Linked DNA regions of Oryctolagus cuniculus. The protein of the gene in region 2 interacts with the protein of the main gene of each other region in a pairwise test. Links are inferred from orthologs where the notes say so. Each region holds a gene or a part of one and is shown on either strand. Other genes may lie near its edges.

The links.
Region 1: the proteins of KLHL41 (region 2) and NRAP interact in binary tests that used the Homo sapiens proteins (3 or more experiments, as listed by UniProt). The link is inferred for Oryctolagus cuniculus from reciprocal best matches to the Homo sapiens genes KLHL41 and NRAP.

Annotation. Positions count from the first base shown.
Region 1 is NC_091446.1:16,678,149-16,687,572, reverse strand, and holds the end of NRAP (nebulin-related-anchoring protein), read right to left. Parts: intron 6,995-9,424; coding exon 6,887-6,994; intron 5,583-6,886; coding exon 5,271-5,582; intron 4,525-5,270; coding exon 4,393-4,524; intron 3,845-4,392; coding exon 3,740-3,844; 3' UTR 3,585-3,739; downstream 1-3,584. Other genes in the region: HABP2 (hyaluronan-binding protein 2), read left to right, coding at 699-844, 3,028-3,192. UniProt on the Homo sapiens protein: May be involved in anchoring the terminal actin filaments in the myofibril to the membrane and in transmitting tension from the myofibrils to the extracellular matrix.
Region 2 is NC_091434.1:71,562,088-71,572,627, forward strand, and holds part of KLHL41 (kelch-like protein 41), read right to left. Parts: intron 7,297-10,540; coding exon 7,111-7,296; intron 5,557-7,110; coding exon 5,410-5,556; intron 1-5,409. UniProt on the Homo sapiens protein: Involved in skeletal muscle development and differentiation. Regulates proliferation and differentiation of myoblasts and plays a role in myofibril assembly by promoting lateral fusion of adjacent thin fibrils into mature, wide myofibrils.

The DNA.
Region 1 (9,424 bases), on a different chromosome or scaffold from region 2:
TAACAGGTCTGTATTCATGACGAAAGGGAAATGTAATATACAAATTTGTCCGATGCTTTTGGGAAAGGAGACTTCTTGCTAACTGATTTTAGAATTGACCAGGAAACTCTTTTCTGAAGCTATCTTCATTGTAGTCCACCTAAGCCTTCTGATCCCTATTCTGTGCAATATGGATTGGACAGTATGGCCATGTCTGAGATGGGGCTCTTACAAGACATTCAGGCTAGGATGTTTTAGTTTCTCTGAATAGCCCTCCAAGGCTGTGTGTTCAAAGTCAATGACATGTTTTGATTGACTCTTTACCTGTGGAGCAATAGCAGTACACCAGGGCACTCCATCCATCCATCCATCCATCCATTCATCTATCCACTCACTCCCCAAGAGTCTACTAAATGCTAGCCTCTCTGGTCTGCATAGGAAATTAACAAATAGTCAACACACCTTCCCTACCCTCCTAGGCCTCATAGTCTGCTTGGGGTTACAGAGGAGGCAATGAATGGTTCAGCCCCACTGTGATAAGTGCAGCATTACAGGTCTGCATAGGCGTGGTGACGCCTGAGGGAAAGGATCCATCAGCCTTAGAAGGCGACGCTTCCCAGCTCCTGGAAAATCCACGCTTCCTGAGCTGAGAGCTGGTGGCCTTCTAGTACTGCTGGATTCTGGTGCCCACCATAGTGACTTTTCTCTTTGCCCCACAGGGGAAGGGTCCCGCCAGCTCCTGGATGCCAAAGTCAAGCTGATTGCAAACACTTTGTGCAACTCGCGTCGACTCTACGACCACATGATTGATGACAGCATGATTTGTGCAGGAAACCTTCAGAAACCTGGACAAGACACCTGCCAGGTCAGAGGCTCCTAATGGTACTTGGAGAAGGAGAGGCTGGCAGTCCTCGGGCACAGAGGCTGTTGGGAGCCCTGGGCGGAGATAGGGCTGTAGCAGTCCACATCAGTATGGATGGTTCAACTTGGTAACCACAGTGGTCCTGGTGCCTGCATTGTTCACTCGAATTCCCCCAACCCTCTGGTGTGTGTGTGGAGGGCATCATTAGCCCCATTTTACAGATGTTTTCAGAGGTTGTCTTGGCCTGGATGCTAAGTGGCAGGGCTAGAATTTGGACAACCCAGGTCTGCAGGATGCCACAGCCTTTGCTACTGTGCTCCACGATATTTAAATGTGAAGATGGCACAGCTGGCCTCAGTGTTGGGCAGCAGGTCTGAAATAGCCCAACGAATGCCCTAAAGGCCATTGGCTGGAAGGAGAAAGATGTGAGGCCTAGAGATTTTGCAATGATATTAACTACTCATGAGGATTTAAACGAGAGAGACAGATACAGGTTTCACCTTAGCACGCTAAGTGGCTCTGCGGCCATAGCCAGCCTAGGGCCTGCCTGACGCTCCTCCCAGTCTCGACTTTGGGAACCCCAAGCTGCTGAGGCCTGCGGTGTGTGAGAAGCTGCTGGGGAGGGAGGAGGTGGCAGCTCCACACTGGTGCCAAGGGGACCTCAGGCGGTGTCCCAGTGCACTCCCCAGAGTCCCTGCCTCTGCCAGGGTGTCATCACACAGCATACGTCCGTCCCAGATGCCCAGAAACACCTCGATTTACAATTTTCTGCTGATTGTCCTCACAAACCACCCAACTACCCTGGAAAACCCAACAGGGCCACATTTGGGTCCTAGATCCTTGATGGAGTCTCTCTACAAAGGGATCCAAACATTACTTGCCCACCTTGAGTTCACTTTGGGTTGGGAAATGGAAATGACTGCTCCAGGGTTTGTGTCTCTGCTGTGAGCCCTTCCCTCTCCCAGGGACCACAGATATGCACATATGCAGAGAACCATAGGCAGATGGGTGCTACTTGCCCTAAGCCCCTGGGAGATGAGTCAGAGATTGTTCAAGAAAAGAAATAATTGCTGCCGGCTCTGGTAACAGCCATGGGTTTGCAACTTGGTTCTGTCCCCTATTGTGTGGCCTTAGCAGTCACCAAATTCTCTGATCTCAGATGCCTAATCTGTAAAATGGTGCTAACATGTCCATCAAATCATCCTAAGGTTGTGGCTAAGATGCCAAGAGGGAATTCATTTGAAAAACACCTGTTAGTGGTGGTGCTTAAGTGGTAGTGGATGTTTGGGAGCCTAAGAGCTGCTGACACCCTCATTGTCCTTCTCAGAATCCTCACGACAGCCCTGGGACACAGTTAGCAGTGTGACAACCTGAGGCCCAAGGCTGGCAGGCACCAGAGCCTGGCTCAGAGCCCAGGACATCTAACCACGTGGACCACGGTGAATGCCCTGACCAGGGTGCCCCCTGAGTCCCCATCCTCCTCCCCTGTGTGTGCCCAGGGCTGTATCCAAACAGGGCCCCAGAAGGAGCAAGTCCAGAGCCCCTGAGAGCTCACAGCAGTGACACCCTGAAGGGAGCCAGCACTGCGGTGCGCCGGGGTAAGCACAGCCTGCAATGCGGGCGTTGTGCATGCTCCACTTCCGATCCAGCTCCCTGCTAACGTTCAGGGGAAAGCAGTGGAAGACGGCTCAAGTGCTTGGGCCCCTGCCAGCCATGTGGGAAACCGGGGTGGCATTCCAGCCTCCTGGCTCCAGCATGGCCCAGCCCAGGCCATGGCGGCCATTTGGGGAGTGAACCAGAGGATGGACAATCTCCTATTTCTCTCCCTCTCCCTGTCCCTCTCCCTGTCCCTGTCCCTCCCCTCTCTTTCAAAGAAACAAAGTAAGTATTTTAAAAAAAAAACCCTCCTGTGACTAAGAGTCAGGAATTAGAGTTTGCCCATGGCACGGTGGCTACAGCCCTTGGCTCCTGTGCCAAGCCTCCCAGGCTCAGGGACAAAGGACACTGCTCACTTAGAGAGTGAGTTTCACGGCACCGGAAGCCTGGGGAGAGCCTGCTTTCCAGAGCAGCCCGCCACAGCTGGCAGCCGACACCGCCCCCTCAGCCCCGGCACCCTCTCTGCGGTCGTGGGGGTGTCTGAATGTACTGTGGCCCCGAGGCTGACCTCACGCCCCTTCCTCCCCTAGGGTGACTCTGGAGGTCCTCTGACCTGTGAGAAGAATGGCACCTACTACATCTCCGGCATAGTGAGCTGGGGCCTGGAATGTGGGAAGAAACCAGGGGTCTACACCCAAGTCACCAGGTTCCTGAGTTGGATCAAAGCCACCATCCAAAGGGAGGCTGCCGTCTAAGCTGCCGTCCTCTGAAGCACCTCAGACAACACGGGCTCCTGGGCAGCCACAGGCACCCCGTGGCCTCCACGCAGCGAGTGTTCATGTTCTATGCAGAGACAACCACTGCCCAGCCTGGGCCTTCCTGGCCCAGCCTTTGCACCATTTCATCTGGCTCTTTCTGATCTCTCAAAGCATGATGGAACCCACACGAGATAGCTTAGGTTTGCTTCACTTTCAACAGTTGTTCTTCCTAGAAAATCAGCGTTCAGAGGCTGTCTCCACCTGACACCTGCCAGCAAGGGACTGCAGACTGCCCAGCCTTGGGGGGAGTCGCCCTGGCCTCTTTATTCCTCATCCTGGACCGACCAGCCAGGTACTAGAGAGAGGAGCAATAATACGACATAGCCCCGTTGCTTTCACAGTTGTTTTAATAAACCCAGGACCAGGGAAAGCAGGTGCTCCATTGTTCCAGCTCGTCCACTTGGGGCCATCTAAAGTCTGGATCTTCAGATGCAAGTTCGCTCTTCCGGCTTCTCTCTTAAGAACTGGCGTGGACACCACTCGCTCACAACAGCAGAGCCTTCTTCCTTTTGACGTGCAGGATCTCAGTGGCATCTGGGTTCACCTGCCCCCTGGGATCATCTCCAGACTCCATGGCCTCTGGCCCTCCCTGCAGAAATCAAACACACAGCCCGGAGTTACCACGCAGCTCCCGTCCTGTTTCCACAGGAGATGGTAAGATAGCCCAGGAGCATGGGACTCATTCGTCTCCACACCCTCTCCCCTCCTCCATCCTTCCCAGGAAAAAGGATCCTCAAGGCAAGAATGAAAAAGAAGCAAAGTCAATCTCATTTAGATGCGGTGTCTTTTTGGGAAAAATAAAAGCATTTGAAATGCAGACTGTTGTAGCCAGCAAGTCTCTGACCCTTTCCACAAATGCAGCAAGCCAGCAGTCAGCACAGCCTGGGCTGCCCTGGCCCGGGATTGATGTCACCCCAGTAGGTTTGCCTCTGCAGAACTAATGGCTGGGACTTCAGAGAAAACCCTGCGGGAAGTTTAACCCACGTGTCATCCGCCTGGTCATCTCAGACCCGTGAAATTAGGCGCCTTGCTCCAGCTGCATTTTACACTTCTTTAGAGAGGCTGATCTTTGGCCAAAAATAAACTTTGAAAAGAAACAATGAGTTTGTCTTTCCCCCAGGGTCTCGCCACACTCACATAAGCCCCCTGGAGACCCCGGCTCCTTGCGTTGGCCAGTTCTGCAGCCCGCCGAGCCATTTCCACTTTGTAGGAGCCAGGAGGAGTCCAGCCAACACCTCTGGTCAGATTCAAGTCCGATTTATACTTGACCTTGGGGGAAGGAGAGAAGCAAGAATATGTCAGCAGGGTTTGGGGTGGTTTGACCACTGAGTGGACAGGGTTAGAAAAGCCACCACAAGATGGGGAATATATTGTTGTTAGTAAAGCTAGGGCAGTGGGAACAAATCCATCTCATGCAGTAGCTCCCTGGCACCAAGGGCCCAGTGTGCCACAAGTGGAGCCAGCCTTTCGCTGCCCCTTTCAAGTGATGGGAGCTCAGTGGTGCAGGGTTGGGGGTGGGGAACAGCTGGGTCAACTCTGAGCGCCTACTTTGATTTACTCCGTGGCCTTAGGGGAACCACTTCTCTTTTGTGGGATGCAGTTTCTTCCCACGGAAAGTGCAGGGCTGGGTTAGGTAACTACTAAGGACCCTTGGAAACACAGCACAGCTGGGGCTCTCCCAGCAAACCAAATGGCATTTACATCCTAGGTCTGCCACTTCTTTGCTGGGGGATATTAAGTTAACCCCTCTGAGCCTCAGGTTCCTGATCTGTAAAATGGGGCCATAGTGGGGTTATTGTGAAGGCTACAGGACAGGATGCTTGGGAAGCACTTGGCACAAAGCCTGACTTCCCAGCAGAAATTCAAGAAATGGAGGTGATTGTTACTATTCCTCTGGGTCGGTAGTGTTAAGGGCCTTGGGTCCTATCTTGGCCCAACTCCCCAGAGCACAGGGCCTTGTCCTAGGAAGAGGCACGAGGGGAGAGGCCTCAGCGGGGCCGGCGAAGGCTGCTCACATCACTTTGCAGCCGGTGGGCTTTCTGTGCGTGCTTCAGGCCCAGCTGCTCCGGGTCACTTGTGGGCTGGGGCAGGGGCTGTCTGTACTGCACGTCGCTGGCCAGTTGCTGGCTCCTCTTGGCATGCAGAAACCCTGGCTGGTCTGCACGGCTGTGGAACTGGGACCGACTCTGGACAAAGTCCTTCTTGTACTCATTGTCACTCTGAAGTCTGCCCACGGTGAGGAAATGCTTCATCCTTGGGTCATCACTGATGCTGCGGTACCCAATCTGCAGGCCCCGGTCCCGCAGGAAGGCCTCCTTGTACCGGAACTGCAAGGTCAGAGGAGCAGAGAGGGGTCGCTAGGGCCCATGTCTTCCCCCCTCCACAGGCCAGCCTCCCCTCCCCGAGGGGGTCGTCCTATGGGACACACAGTAGGGAGCTCAATGGTGGATTAGAGGCACACATTTTGGATCTGGGTAGAACCAAAGTTGTGACGTGGGTCAGTTATTGAGTCTCTCTGAGTCTCAGTTTCCCCATCTTAAAGATGGGGTAATGAATTTCGACCCCATGGGATATTAAAAGGATTTAATGAGATGGGGCTGAGCTTCGTGCTGGCCACTGGCTCACGCCCACTGAGTGGCAGCTACTGGCGTTGATGCTGCTGCAGTTAAAACTCCAAAGGAAGAGAAGTGTGCCCGTTCTTCCTCTGATCCTTTCCAGCTTTTAACCTCTGGTCAGGTTCAAGTCCGATCTTGTTTGGGACCTAGACCAGTGCTCTTCAAATCATCTGTAGTAAAGAACTTGTGTTTGGATTTTTAAATTTCCAACCTATCAAAGAGCAATATGTGGTCCTACTATGTGTGTTTGGTAACACCCCAAACTGGCCTTTATCTTATTCAACAAAATGATCACATACTTGAATATCTCAATGTCCAAAGACTAAACGCCTTTCTGAATGCAGGCTCTGTTTCTGTACTCATCTCCCCATGGGCCAGCCAGGAACCATTCATGGGTGAGCGTGGGAAGGTGTGAAGAGCATTTGCCCAGTAGGTGACACCCCCTTCTTCAGCAATAATGGCTGCCTCTTCTAAACACCTGCCATGAGCCAGACCCTGTAAACCATTTGTTCCCATTCCTCCATCAACCCTAGACCACAAATACTCAATCTCTATTTCATAGATATAGAAATCTGAGCTCAGAGAATGTAAACAACTTCCCCAAGACAAACAGCTAATTCCTAAGTGGCCAAGCTAGAACTCAAGTCAAACTAGGGGGAAAGCCCAATATCTTTCTACATCATCCCACTGCAGTTCAGCTAAAGGAAGCCCATTTACTGCATCCTGGCAAACCAATCATTGACCTGGTTCATTGCCCTGGTTCCAGGTGCTCCACATCACTTTAAGAGGACCTCTGTGAAGACAGAGGGAGTAGGGATACAACTCTCCCCAACCCCAAATTGCTGGCAAAGATCCTAGAAAATAAGCCTTATTTTTTCTTTCCTTTGAAATACACATTCAGTTCTGGAGTGGAGGGAGAGATAATTTTGATAGGCCCTGGTGGTTTGCCTCTCCACAGATCTGGGAAACCCCCAGTGAATCCTATCAGTGATGGGGGGCGGGGGGCAAGGTCTTACGTCGCTGGCAATCTCCCTGGATGCCCGGGCAGTCTGGAACGGGATGGCATCCAGCCTGAAGTCATAGCCACTGGCCCGGATCTGCTCCCAAGAGTTTCTGTAGGCTTTCTGGAAGGGGAAAACAGAACCGGAGTGAGCACGGAGCACCTCCACTGCTTGCACATTGCTGGTTCCTAAATAGTCCTCTTGGCCTTGTTAGGCCCCGGGATGATGGAGCCCACGGCCCCACGTCTATCCGGGGGCCTCCCAGCTCTGAGACTGCTGGGACTGGCCAAGCAGGGCTTCCTCTCTTTAGAGGCATGCGGTCTGGGGGGTCTGGCTCATTTGCCGCACTCTGTGGGTCTCGGAGGTCCCTGACCCACTCCTTCCTGTCTTGGCGCTCACGGTTGGAGCCTCGGGTTTGCAGCTTCTAGACGCCAGACTCAAAGTTTCAGAACCCAGTTTCTTCCTCTGTGCTGAACGTGCTGTTCCTTAGGTCTTGACAGCCATGCATTTGTTAGCTCCACTGACTTCCTGGGGGCCCCTTGGCCTGGCTTTGATGCCATGTCCCACATCGTCACTCTGAGGCCTGCTGCATCTCACATACACCCCTGGTGCCTGCACGAAGGGAAGAGCCTTCGCCTGAATTACATTTATTGTCAAGCACCTGACCGAGTACCTGACCCATGTGTTTCATATCTTCCTCTTTCATTTTTCCCCCTTTTCAAGTTGTTCCCACACACCCTCTGGGAGTCTGTAATCATATCCTCTCAGTCCTCAGGTAGGCCCACATCACCGAGAGAGGCGTCAAAATCTTCTGTAGCTAATTTTTTTTTTCAAGATAAGGGAATGGCTCCATGAAAGGACTCCTCCGGCGATCCCAGTGGAGGGCTCTCCTTTATTCAGCCACAGAGAAGGGAGACAGCAGGGGAGACACATCACCAACAGATGACAAAGTGACAGCCCCAGACCGCGGCGGTCGCTCGCTCGTTCCATGAGCTACAGCGGGTCAGGAGGCCCTTAAGAACTTTACTTTTGTCACCTGGAAATGGAGGTCAAGGCTGGCGCTCTGTTCCACATGGGGTTGGGGGGATTAAGCCAAGGAGGAGTGGCAGATGAAAAGCAAAGTGCCTCACCCCATCCCGCACCGGGCCTGGAACCAGGGGGACCATGAAGAGCCTGGGTCACGCGTGATGGAACTCGTTTCTTTCTGCCACGGCTCACCATCACCTGCACCTTCACCATCGCCTGCAGCTCCAAGGCGCAGCCCCACAAACCAAAAGCTAAATCCCTACCATGTTCAAGGCCCTGGAAATACAGAACCAATCGCCGCTGGGGTGATCACTTAACAGACAGATCCCCAACAGAGCCAGAATGATGGACTTATGGGGGCACTGTTGAGTTTAGCAGCTGGGACTGAAAGATCTGTAGAAGGAAGGGGATATTCGGGGAGAGACGAAGCACCGATCCCTTTCAGCCTCACTTTGTTTGGGTGGTCCCACCAACATTAGTGCAGCCAACAGAGTCAAAAACTCATTGCTCTCTCCAAGGCCCACACGAGATCTGAGTGCAATCAACGACACCAAACTTGGTGACACCCAACTCAAACAGCACCCCGCGTCGGTGTCCAAGGTACCCCAGCTTCCAAGTCTATGTGACTCAGGATCCACTGGAGCGTGGGGCCCACATTGGGGTTCTCCCCAGGGCGTTGGCTCGCTTTCTCCTGAGACTTCTCCCTGTATACTATTTGCTTGATTGTGATCACTTCCTCCCTGAGGTTTTGTATTCTGTTGAGGTTTTTGCCTTGCCACTGGGAGTCTTTAGATTCCGTCGACTCTTTGATTCGGAACCCCGGGCGCTCCTCTTCTTTATCACAGTGGGCACAGTTTTGTCCTCATCCTCACACATTAGAGTCATTTGATTCTGAGTTATTTCGGCTGCCTTACGCATCTCAGTGGCTTTCTTTGCCCAGGAAGGTCACTTTGCCTCCACATCTTCCTCACAGAGCACTTGATCCAATTGTGCGTATTCCACACGCCCCCCGAAGAAGTCCTCTTCAAAAGAGGTTCATGAGTTCTCATACCTGGATGGCCCGGCAGCTAATTTCAGCTCTGGGACTCTGCAAACTGGCATCCCCTGTGAGAGGCAAGACGCTTCTGTCGCCAGCCCGGGTGGCTGCCCTCCTGACGTTGGGCTCCCGATGGACTGGCTGCCTTATCCCAGTTTCCACAGCCCTGGGCCTCCAGTAGCTCCTCACCTGGAGGCCTCACCGTCCCCCATCCTCGGAGCATTAATGAGATGGATGTTTTGTGCCAGCTCGCCCAAGGGGGAGGTCCTGCTTCCCCAGATGGAGGTCAGCCCACCAGAGCTGCTGTTCTAAAATTATCCCTCGCACGTCCCTCAAAAACATCAAATGGTCATAATAACTCATATTTACAAAGCACCATTGCATTCACTGCGTGGGATCCCACAGGGCTTTACAAATGCAACAAACTAATACACACGCTAACTAGAAGGCGCCTCTCGCCAACCCCTGCGAGGCAGCCACCTCTGGGGTGA
Region 2 (10,540 bases):
ATGGCCTGGGAAAGCAGTGGAGGATGGCCCAAGTCCTTGAGCCCCTGCACCTGTGTGGGAGACCCAGAGGAAGCTCCTGGATCCTGGCTTTGGATCCGCTTAGCTCCGGCTGTTGCAGTCACTTGGGGAGTGGACCAAAGGATGGAAGACCTTTCTCTCTCTTTCTCTCTCTCTCTGCCTCTGCCTCTGCCTCTCTGTAACTCTGCCTTTCAAATAAATAAATAAATCTTTAAAGAAAAACAATGTTTGTTTCCTCAGTCATGTTTTTATGTTCAGCTTGGTCAATCCTAAATAATGGAGTAATTTCAACGAAAAAAATGTGAGAATGTAAATGTTTTTTACACATCACAGTAGTAGAGTATATAGATTTAGAATAAGATGTACTGAGCTTTCATTTCCTTGCGTGTACGGATATAGAGGTTCACTAGGAAGTCAAGGGCAAGTGAGTAGCCGCCTTTCTCTAGATCAGTGGCTGTCAACTTTAGGGCACATCCGGGTCACCTGGAAGGCTTGTTAAAACAGTTGCTGGGCCCCACACCCAGAGTTTCTAATTCAAGTGAGGTCTGAGAATTTATATTTCTAACAAGTACCTAAGTGATGCTGATGTTGCATATGGAATCACAGCGGCACATCACTGGTTCTCAAATCCGATGTTTAAAAAATTCTGATGCCCGGACCCCACCCCTAGAGACTGACTTAATCAGGTTGGAGGGTGGCCTGGGCACGAGGATTTTTGAAAGCTTTCCAGCTGAGACTTAATACACAGCAAAATGTGAGAATCAATTGCTCCAGATATTATACCAGATTAGAAAATACCAGTATCTAAATGTCAAACTTTATAGCCAAGCAGATAAATGCCCTCTCTTCCCTTTCTAGTGGTTTCTTTTTTTAAAGATTTTATTTTATTTGTTTGAAAGTCAGAGAGAGAAAGACAGGCAGAGAGAGAGAGAGAGAGAGAGAGGTCTTCCATCCACTGGGTCACTCCCCAGATGCCCACAATGGCTGGAGCTGTGCTGATCCAAAGCCAGGAGCCAGGAGCTTCCTCCAGGTCTCCCACGAGGGTGCAGGGGCATGAGGACTTGGGCCATCTTCTACTGCTTTCCTAGGCCATAGCAGAGAGCTGGATTGGAAGTGGAGCAGCTGGGACTCGAACCGGAGCCCATATGGGATGCCAGCACTGCAGGTGGCTGCTTTACCTGCTATGCCACAGCACTGGCTCCTCTAGTGGTTTCCAAACTTGTCTGCACACATGGAATCATCTGAGAATCTTCTAAAACTTCCCAAACCCTGACCATATCCCGAACCAATTAAAACACAGTAAGGGTGGGACGGAGGTGGTGGTACTTTTTGAAGCTCCCTGTGACTGCAATGTGCAGGCAAGTTTGGGAACTACTGTCCTGATAACAACCAGAAAGCTTCCTCTCAGAGATGTAAGGGCAACTAGCAGAAGATGCTCTACTTTCCTCTGCTGCCCACGGCTTCCTCCTGCCAGGGCTGTGTGGCTTTTGTCTACCTTTAGGAACCAGGGTGGCTCAAATGAGGCTCGGCTGATTGACAGCATCATTCGTTAACATCACTAATACGCCACCTTGGCTGTACATTAAAATCATCAGTGAAGATTTTAGTAACTAGGGATGCTCAGGCCCTACCTCCAGAAACTGATGTAATTGGTCTGTGTTAAGGCCTAGGAACTGATACATTTTAAGCATCCTAAGCAGGGTGGGCACTTGGCACAGTGGCTAGGCTGCCACTTAGGACACCAGCATCCTGTATTGGAGTGCCTGGTTCAAGTCCTGGCTCCTCCACTTCTTCTTCTTCTTTTTTAAAGAAGAAAACAGAGTTACATGGAGAAGTAGAGACAGAGAGAGGTCTTCCATCCACTGGTTCAATCCCCAAATGGCTGCAATGGCCAGAGCTGAGCCAATTCAAAGCCAGGATCTTCTTATGGGTCTCCCACGTGGGTACAGGGGCCAAAGGACTTGGGCTATCCTCTGCTGCTTTCTCAGGCATATTAGCAGGGAACTGGATCAGAAGTGGAGCAGCCGGGACTTGAACTGGTGCCTATATGGGATGCTGGCATTGCAGGCTGGGGTCTTAACCTACTGTGCCACAGCGCCAGCTACTCCTCCACTTCTGATTCAGCTTCCTGTTAATTGATTAGCTGGGAGGCAGCAGGTGGCTGGCTCAAGTTCTTGGGTCCTATCCACCCATGTGGGACATCTGGATTGAATTCCTGGCTCCTGGCTTCGAACTGGCCAAATCAAAGGCATGTAGACTAACAAGCTGATGGAAGCTGTCTGTCTTTCTGTCTCTTTCTCTCTGCCTTTCAGATAAAATGAAAATTTAAAAATAAACTTTTAAAAATATTTATTTATTAATTTGAAAGTCAGAGTTAGAGACAGAGAGACAGAGAGAGAGAGAGAGAGATCCTCTATCTGCTGGTTCACTGGCCCAGGCCTAAACCAGGAGCCAGGAGCTTCATCCGGGTCTCCCACATGGGTGGCAGGAGCCCAAATACTTAGGTCATCTTCCATTGCTTTTTGCAGGCAGATTAGCAGAGAGCTGGATCAGAAATGGAGCAGCTTTCTGCTGTGGCCAGGGAGTGCAGTGGAGGATGGCCCAGGTGCTTGGGCCCTGCACCCCATGGGAAACCAGGATAAGTACCTGGCTCCTGCCATTGGATCAGCACGGTGCGCCGGCTGCAGCACGCCAGCCACGGCGGCCATTGGAGGGTGAACCAATGGCAAAAGGAAGACCTTTCTCTCTGTCTCTCTCTCTCTCACTGTCCATTCTGCCTGTCAAAAAAAAAAAAAAAAAGACAGGAACCAGAGCCCACAGGGGATACTGGTGTCACAGGCAGTGACAGGCAGCCTTTCATTTTAGTAGCTAAGGATAAGACATCTGCTGGTTCAGATATAGGAAAAAAAAAAATCCATGTTTCACTCCAGCCTTAGTGGTATGCCTTCACTGGTCAGGCATAAAGGGTACTCTTTCAAAGCTGTACCTATAAACTTAAATATGCAACATCACTTGGGAATCTTGCTAAAATGCAGGTTCTGGTGGGGCTAGGATTCTGCACTCCTGAGAAGCTCTCAGATGACAACACTGCTCTTCTACAGACAACAGGACATTGTAAGTAGTGAGGCTCTGGACAATCTGATGAGAGACCAGGTAAAGGCTGCCAGCCTTGCAATGTTCACCTAAGATACCTAGGATCTACCTCCTGTAAACTCAGATAAGCAAGCACAGGGCATGGGCTGAGGCAGAAGGGGTAATGGGCAAGCATGTTTGGTCTCTTGATGTTGAGCAAGCATCTACCCACCAAACACTCTGCCTCTGACTATGTGACTCAACAGCACAAGCTCCTGAGATGTCCTGGATACACTCTGGTTTCTATAGAACATTCATTGCATTAGACACTAAAACAGGCCTCACGATCCCCTTAAAACATTCCTGTTTTTAGGCCCAAGCAAAAATTGCAATGGTCATACTTGGGAGAACTGCCTATATGGGAGGTAAAATGGATTGCTACTTTCACTTTTTTCTATTTAAAAAGCTTTTGTTAGGCTTCCATAGCCTTGGCAGCTCATGACAAGAGCCTTGGGTGATTACTGACATCATAAATAAGAGTGTCAGGGGCCGGTGCCGTGGCTCACTTGGTTAATCCGGCGCCGGCATCCCATATGGGCACCAGGTTCTAGTCACGGTTGCTCCTCTTCCAGTCCAGCTCTCTACTGTGGCCCAGGAGGGCAGTGGAGGATGGCCCAAGTGCTTGGGCTCCTGTGCCCACATGGGAGACCAGGAAGAAGCACCTGGCTCCTGGCTTCGGATAGGCACAGCGCTGACCATAGTGGCCATTTGGGGAGTGAACCAATGAAAGGAAGACATTTCTCTCTCTCTCTAACTCTGTCAAATAAATAAATAAATGAATAAGAGTGTCAACTGTTAAATCAACAACGGGAGTCACTATGCACCTGCTCCCCATGAAGGACTTCTGTCCTTAATGTGTTGTACTATGCGAATTAATGGTAAAACTACTACTCAAACAGTACTCTCTACTTCGTGTATCTTTGTGGGTGCAGTCTGTTGAAATCTTTACTTAGTATATACTAAGTGGATCTTCTGTATATAAAGATAATTGAAAATGAATCTTGATGAAGAATGGGATGGGAGAGGGAGTGGGAGATGGGATGGTTGCGGGTAGGAGGGAGGTTATGGGGGGAAAAGCAGCTATAATTCAGAAGCTGTACTTTGGAAATTTATATTTATTAAATAAAAATTGAAAAAAAAAGCTTTTGTTAACCAAATCTTCAAACAACTGAAAGACTATTTAAATTAAATTCCAAATAGAATTAATGATTTCATGGAGATCTTTAAAAAGAGGTTAAATGTTTTTTCACAATTCTGCTTTTTTTTTTTTTTTTTTTTTGACAGGCAGAGTGGACAGTGAGAGAGAGAGAGAGAAAGGTCTTCCTTTGCCGTTGGTTCACCCTCCAATGGCCGCCACGGCCGGCGCACCGCGCTGATCCGATGGCAGGAGCCAGGTACTTTTCCTGGTCTCCCATGGGGTGCAGGGCCCAAGCACTTGGGCCATCCTCCACTGCACTCCCTGGGCACAGCAGAGAGCTGGCCTGGAAGAGGGGCAACCGGGACAGAATCCGGCTCCCCGACCGGGACTAGAACCCGGTGTGCTGGTGCCGCAAGGCGGAGGATTAGCCTAGTGAGCCGCGGCGCCGGCCGACCACAATTCTGTTTTCTTAGGAAATAAACTACTCTGGTGGAAAGATAAGCAACCTGGGGCTGGCGCTGTGGTGCAGCGGGTTAAAGCCCTGCCCTGCATATGGACCTCAGTTGGGGTCCCAGCTGCTCCACTTTCTGGTGCACCTAGGAGGGCAGGAAAGACAGCCCAAGTCCTTGGGCCCCTGCACCCACGTGGGAGACCCAGAAAAAGCTCCTGGCTCTGCCCAGCTGCTGCAGCCTTTTGGGGGAGTGAAGCAGCCGATGGAAGACCTCTCTCTCTTTCTGTCTCTACCACTCTCTTTCAAACAAATGAAATACAATCTTTAAGAAAAAATAAAAAGGGAAAGAAAGGTAAGTTGCCTTCACTCTACTGGATATCTAGAGTGTTGTCCATTGAGAGCTGGAATAGAGCTGGAATAGAGCCAACTGTCGTTTTACTGACTAAGAAATAGGTCCACATAAGTTCTTTCCCAAGCTCACAGCTAATTGTAAGCAGTACTTGATGAAGTATGTGGCAGGTACAATTATATTTGAAGTGTCTGGTCTATAACCAAGAAGTAGCCTGCATATTGGAAAAGTCTGGCTTATTATTTGCTACAGAATTATTGCTCAATTTTCATTTATCTGATTTAATATCTGGTTCTGAAAATGAGAGTGAAGAGAACTTACTTCCATATGTCATTGACTTCAGTGGGTGCAAACTCTTTAGATTCCAGTTGAATCATAGCAAAACCACCGATGGCATACAGAGATCCAGCCAGGCTGACCAAACTGATGGAGCTTCTTTCTTGGGGAAATTCAGTCATTACTTCCCATCTGGGTATTATTGAAAATATAGTGAATGTAAAACTTAACATATTAAATGTATTTACTGAACAGGAAATACTTTAAAAATTCAAGTAGCATAAGCATCTAAAAGTAGAAGTTTACAACTAGAAAATATTTTAAAATTCCTTAAATTTGAAAGATGTAATAATCATATTAAATAGAAAGCTTTCAATAGATCACACTTAGAATATTTCATGATTTAGCACCTTCAGCAGTGGTTGCCAAACTATTTGTCATAAACAGTGGGGTTCTGTGGCCCACATTTGAATACTAATACAAACATTTAAAAACTCTTAATTTCAAGCTTTTCTCAAGAACTCTCCAATCCTTTGCAATAAAGGTATATGATAAAGATAGTTTTGAAGCTACGGATGGAGATGGTAAATTTACTTTTAATGACTTGTACTTTACAATATAAAGGTTTTAGGAGAACTTTTTAATGTTAACAGCCATCTGAAATAGGACAACTGAAGATAAAATCAACCACATTGGCTGGAAGTTTCAAGAACTGGGAATGAGTTAGTCATGTGGTAGCTCTCCACTGCATTACCCCAGAACTATAGTTCTAAAGAACTAAAAACCTCATAGTTTTTCTTTAAACCTATTTTTATTAACCATAAAAATAATACATATACACTATAAAAATCTAGGAAGTACAGAAAGTTATAGAAGAAAACAAATACCCTCATTATCATAGTTTCCAGATATAATCATAAGTAACATTTTGGTATAGCTTGTCTTTTTATTAAAAAAAAAAGGATATAGGTATCCAAACATATGAAGAACTCTAGGAACAGAGGATTTACAATTTTGTGCTGCTTCTTTAACTTTTTATATTATGAGTGCTTAACTAATATACAGTCTTAAAATATGTTTTAGTGCTCTTTTAGGTTCTATTACATAAAAGTTGCTTGTGACTTTCAGTTATTATTTTGTAGTCAGACATACATAGTTTCTAAAAAAACTAGTAACAGTACTCTGATTTTTAACTTATTGCTAAACTATGAAAGTATATACTCATCTAGATGTGTGGGCACAAAGATTCTGAAAAAATTAATTTTATATAAGAATACCAAGTATTTTTCATAGTGTTGCTAAAAGCTTAAAAAACAAGCTTTAAAAAACATCTAAAAAACATAAAGAAACCAAACTTCTGAAGCATTCATACTTAATATCAGTCATTAATAAGATATTCTCATCTTTAATGAAACTACATATTTCCAATTGAATAACTCCACAGAGACATGTATATCCATCTACATGAACACAGTTATTCAGAAGTGTTACCTTAGCATGACTCCATTCACACAGTTAACACAAGTAAGGACGAGCAAGGCATGCCAGCATCAACTTGAGGGTCACACTCGGTGCATCCAAATGTTAGGAGTTTTACTCTCAGTTGCCACAGAAGAAACCCTCATGAAAATACTCCCCTTAAATTGATGACTCCCTGCCCCTAGCCCTGCCACATGCTAACTGAAAGCTTAATTTTTATCAGGTAACAACTGAAATGCACAGTGACTGTGAGATTCAGCAACTCACTTATTGGTTGTGAGGTCAAAAGCTTCCACTGCAGCTGAAAGACCATCCTCAGTGACACCCCCTGCGACCACGATCTTGCCTTTGTGGACCGCCACTCCAAACATGGAACGCGGGGTTTTCATCGGAGCCAGGTCTTTCCAGTCGCCTTTTTTGGGGTTGTAGATGAACACTCTGTTGGTACACTTTCTGTAATCAGAAAAGAAAACAAATATCCATTTTAAAATATTTTTTGAAAGCAACTTCAGTAGTAAGTTGGCATTGGTTCTCCTATAAAGTATGTAGTGTGACAGAGGACCAGAAAAACTCCACAGAGTTCTTAACGTGAACATTTGCTGCTAGGTAAAGGACAATCCAAATGTGGAAAGCAAAACTATTTTATAAAGTAATTAGCTGGGGGGCTGGTGCTGTGGTATAGCGGGTCAATCTGCCACCTGCAGTGTTGGCATCCCATGTGGGTGCTAGTTTGAGTCCCAGCAGCTCCTTTTCTGATCCAGCTCTTCGCTATGGCCTGGGAAAGCAAGTGTTTGGGTCCCTGAACCCTTACAAGAGACCCTGAAGAAGCTCCTGGCTCCTGGCTTCATATTGGCCCAGCTCTAGGTGTTGCGGCCATTTGGGAAGTGACCCAGCAGATGAAAGACCTCTCTCTCTCTCTCTCTCTGCCTCTGCCTCTCTGTGACTCTGCCTTTCAAATAAGTAAGTCTTAAAAATAAGTAAATAATTATTCTACTTCTAGGCAACCACTTAGGAGTTCAGGAACAGCAGATTCTAATTCTATCTGCTAATAAATTCAATGGAAAACTTTGTTTTTATGCTAGTTGGGTGGGAAAAAAATCACAAATCCTTTATTATGCCTCAGTAATAAGAAATATTAATTTATTAATTTCATTATTTGAATGTTTTAGGAATGAATAAGTTAACTTAAAAATAATCAGGTGGGAGGCTGGCAGTATGGCACAGCTAGCCACAGCTTATGACACTGGCATCCCACATGTGAGTGCCAGCTTGAGTATTTGCTGGTCTGCTTCCCATTTAGTTTCCTGCTATTGTGCCTGGGAAGTCAATGGATGATGGCCCAAGTGCTTGGGTCCCTGCCACCCACCCAACAGGGGAGAATCTGGATGGAGTTCTGGGCTTCTGGCTTCCCTGGGGCCATTTGGGGAATGAACCAACAGATGGAAGATCTCTGTGTCACTCTGTCAAATAAATATTTAAAAATAATAGTAATAGGCAGATGAACACATGCCTATTTTACACTTAACTAATACAATCTCTCATTTTATTTACCATTAATACACAGATGCATTTTAAGAAATGTTGGATATACATTAGACAATGTAGGCATCTGTGCTGATGAGTGATGAGAAGAGTTTTATGTACTAAATGCTCTCAGAAAACCCTGGATTCATCTGAATTATTATTCTTAGTAAAGTTACCCATTACTTAGTGATGAGAGTTCAGAATTCCAAATAATGATTTAACTCTATATATAACAAAGAAATGCTCCAAGTTTTTGTGAGGACAGCTGTTTCTTTCTTCCTTTCTTCCTTTCTCTCTCTCTCTCTCTCTTTCTTTCTTTTGAAAGTCAGAGTTACACAGAGAGAGAAGGAGAGGCGGCGGGGTGGGGGGTGGTGGGTCTTCCATTCCGCTGCTTCACTCCTCAAATGACCATAATGGCCAGAACTGAGCTGATCCAAAGCCAGGAGCCAGGAGCTTCTTTCAGGTCTCCCACCCAGGTGCAGGGCCCCAAGGACTTGGCCCATCCTCTATTGCTTTCCCAGGCCATAGCAGAAAACTGGATCAGAAGAGGAGCAGCTAGACTCGAACTGGCATCCATATGGGGTGCCGGCACTGCAGGCTGGAGCCTTAACCCGCTATGCCACAGTGCTGGCCCCAGGACAGCTGTTTCTTAATCTTATAAAAGGCCAGGTACCTGCAACAGAGGCATTCCCTAATACTAACTATGGGTATCACTTGAAAACTTCTTGGGGCTGGTGTTGTGGCATAGCAGGTTAAGCCACCACCTGGAATGCCAGCATTCCATATTGGCACCAGTTTGAGTCCCAGCTACTCTACTTCCAATCCAGCTCCCTGCTAGTGTGCCTGGGAAAGCAGTGGAGGATGATGGCCCAAGTGCCTGCACCCACGTGGGAAATCCAGATGGAGTTCCAGGCTCCTGGCTTTGGTTTGGCTCAGCCCCAGCCATGTGCCCATTTGGGGAGTGAACCGGAAGATGGAAGATCTCTCCCTCTCTCTTTGTAATTCTGCTTTTCAAATAAATCTTTAAAAAACAAAAACTTCTTGATAAGAACATGATACAAAAGAATGTTCTTCAAATACGTTAGCTATAATTTGTGCAATTCAGTCTTTACTTTTAGATAATGACTCACTCAAAGTTCTTGATGTTGACATTTGTCAAGCAATGTTGTCTTGGTTAATCATACTGTCAAGATTAATATATTCTCATGACAAGAACCGCATGCTTCTTTCTGACATATCATTTTCCTAGTTACTAATGCTACTCGAAGGAAACAATTTAAATCATTTTTGGAAGGGCTCCTGGGTTTCTAAAGTCAGAACACTGCTTAATGGAGATTTTCTATGCCACTTACTCAGGAAATATGCCCAAAATAAGATCTGGCACTAGGTGGTTTATAATATACCTTTGTTTAAATATTCATTTGATGGGAATAGCTGGGATTAAGGAAGATACCAAAATTTCAGAATATATTATTTTTGAATATCAACAGATTGTATGAAAATCGTTGCTTTAAAAATTTGAGAGACAGAGAAACAGGGAGAAAGTGTGAGAGAGGGAGAGAAAGAGCTCTCAACCACTGTTTTACTCCTCAAGTGCCTGCAGTGTCCAGGGGGCTGGTCTAGTCTGAAGCTGGGAGCTGGCAACTCAGTCCAGATGTCCCATGCAGGTGGCAGGAACTCAATTAATTGAGCCATCCCTGCAGCTTCCCAGGGTCTGATCAGTTGGAAGCTGGAATCAGGAGTCAACCTTTTCCAAGACTGGACATCCATGGTAATTAAACAGCCTGGGCAAATGATGACAAGCCAAACTGAGCAGTTTTCAGGGGCAAGAGATGCGATTTCACTTGCTAAACCACAAATGCTTGTTTTAGCAGAAAGCCTACTAGTTAAACTGCCTGACTTCTGGAGTACTGCGAATGCACTTTTCCGAGTTATAAGATCTCTTTCTCAATTATCTATCTCTTGAGAAGCGCCTAGGTATCAAATTAGCCATATACATGAAACTTCATCCAGGTATTTTGACAAGAGCCTGGGCACTAGTGGCAACAGCAGCGATTATGTGTTCTGGTTGATTAGTGCCTGTTTTTGAGCAGTTATTAAATATATTGAATATCCTGTCAGGGAGTGAATACGTAAAACATCGCTGAAGAAGTAACTGTCCTCTTTCCAGTCA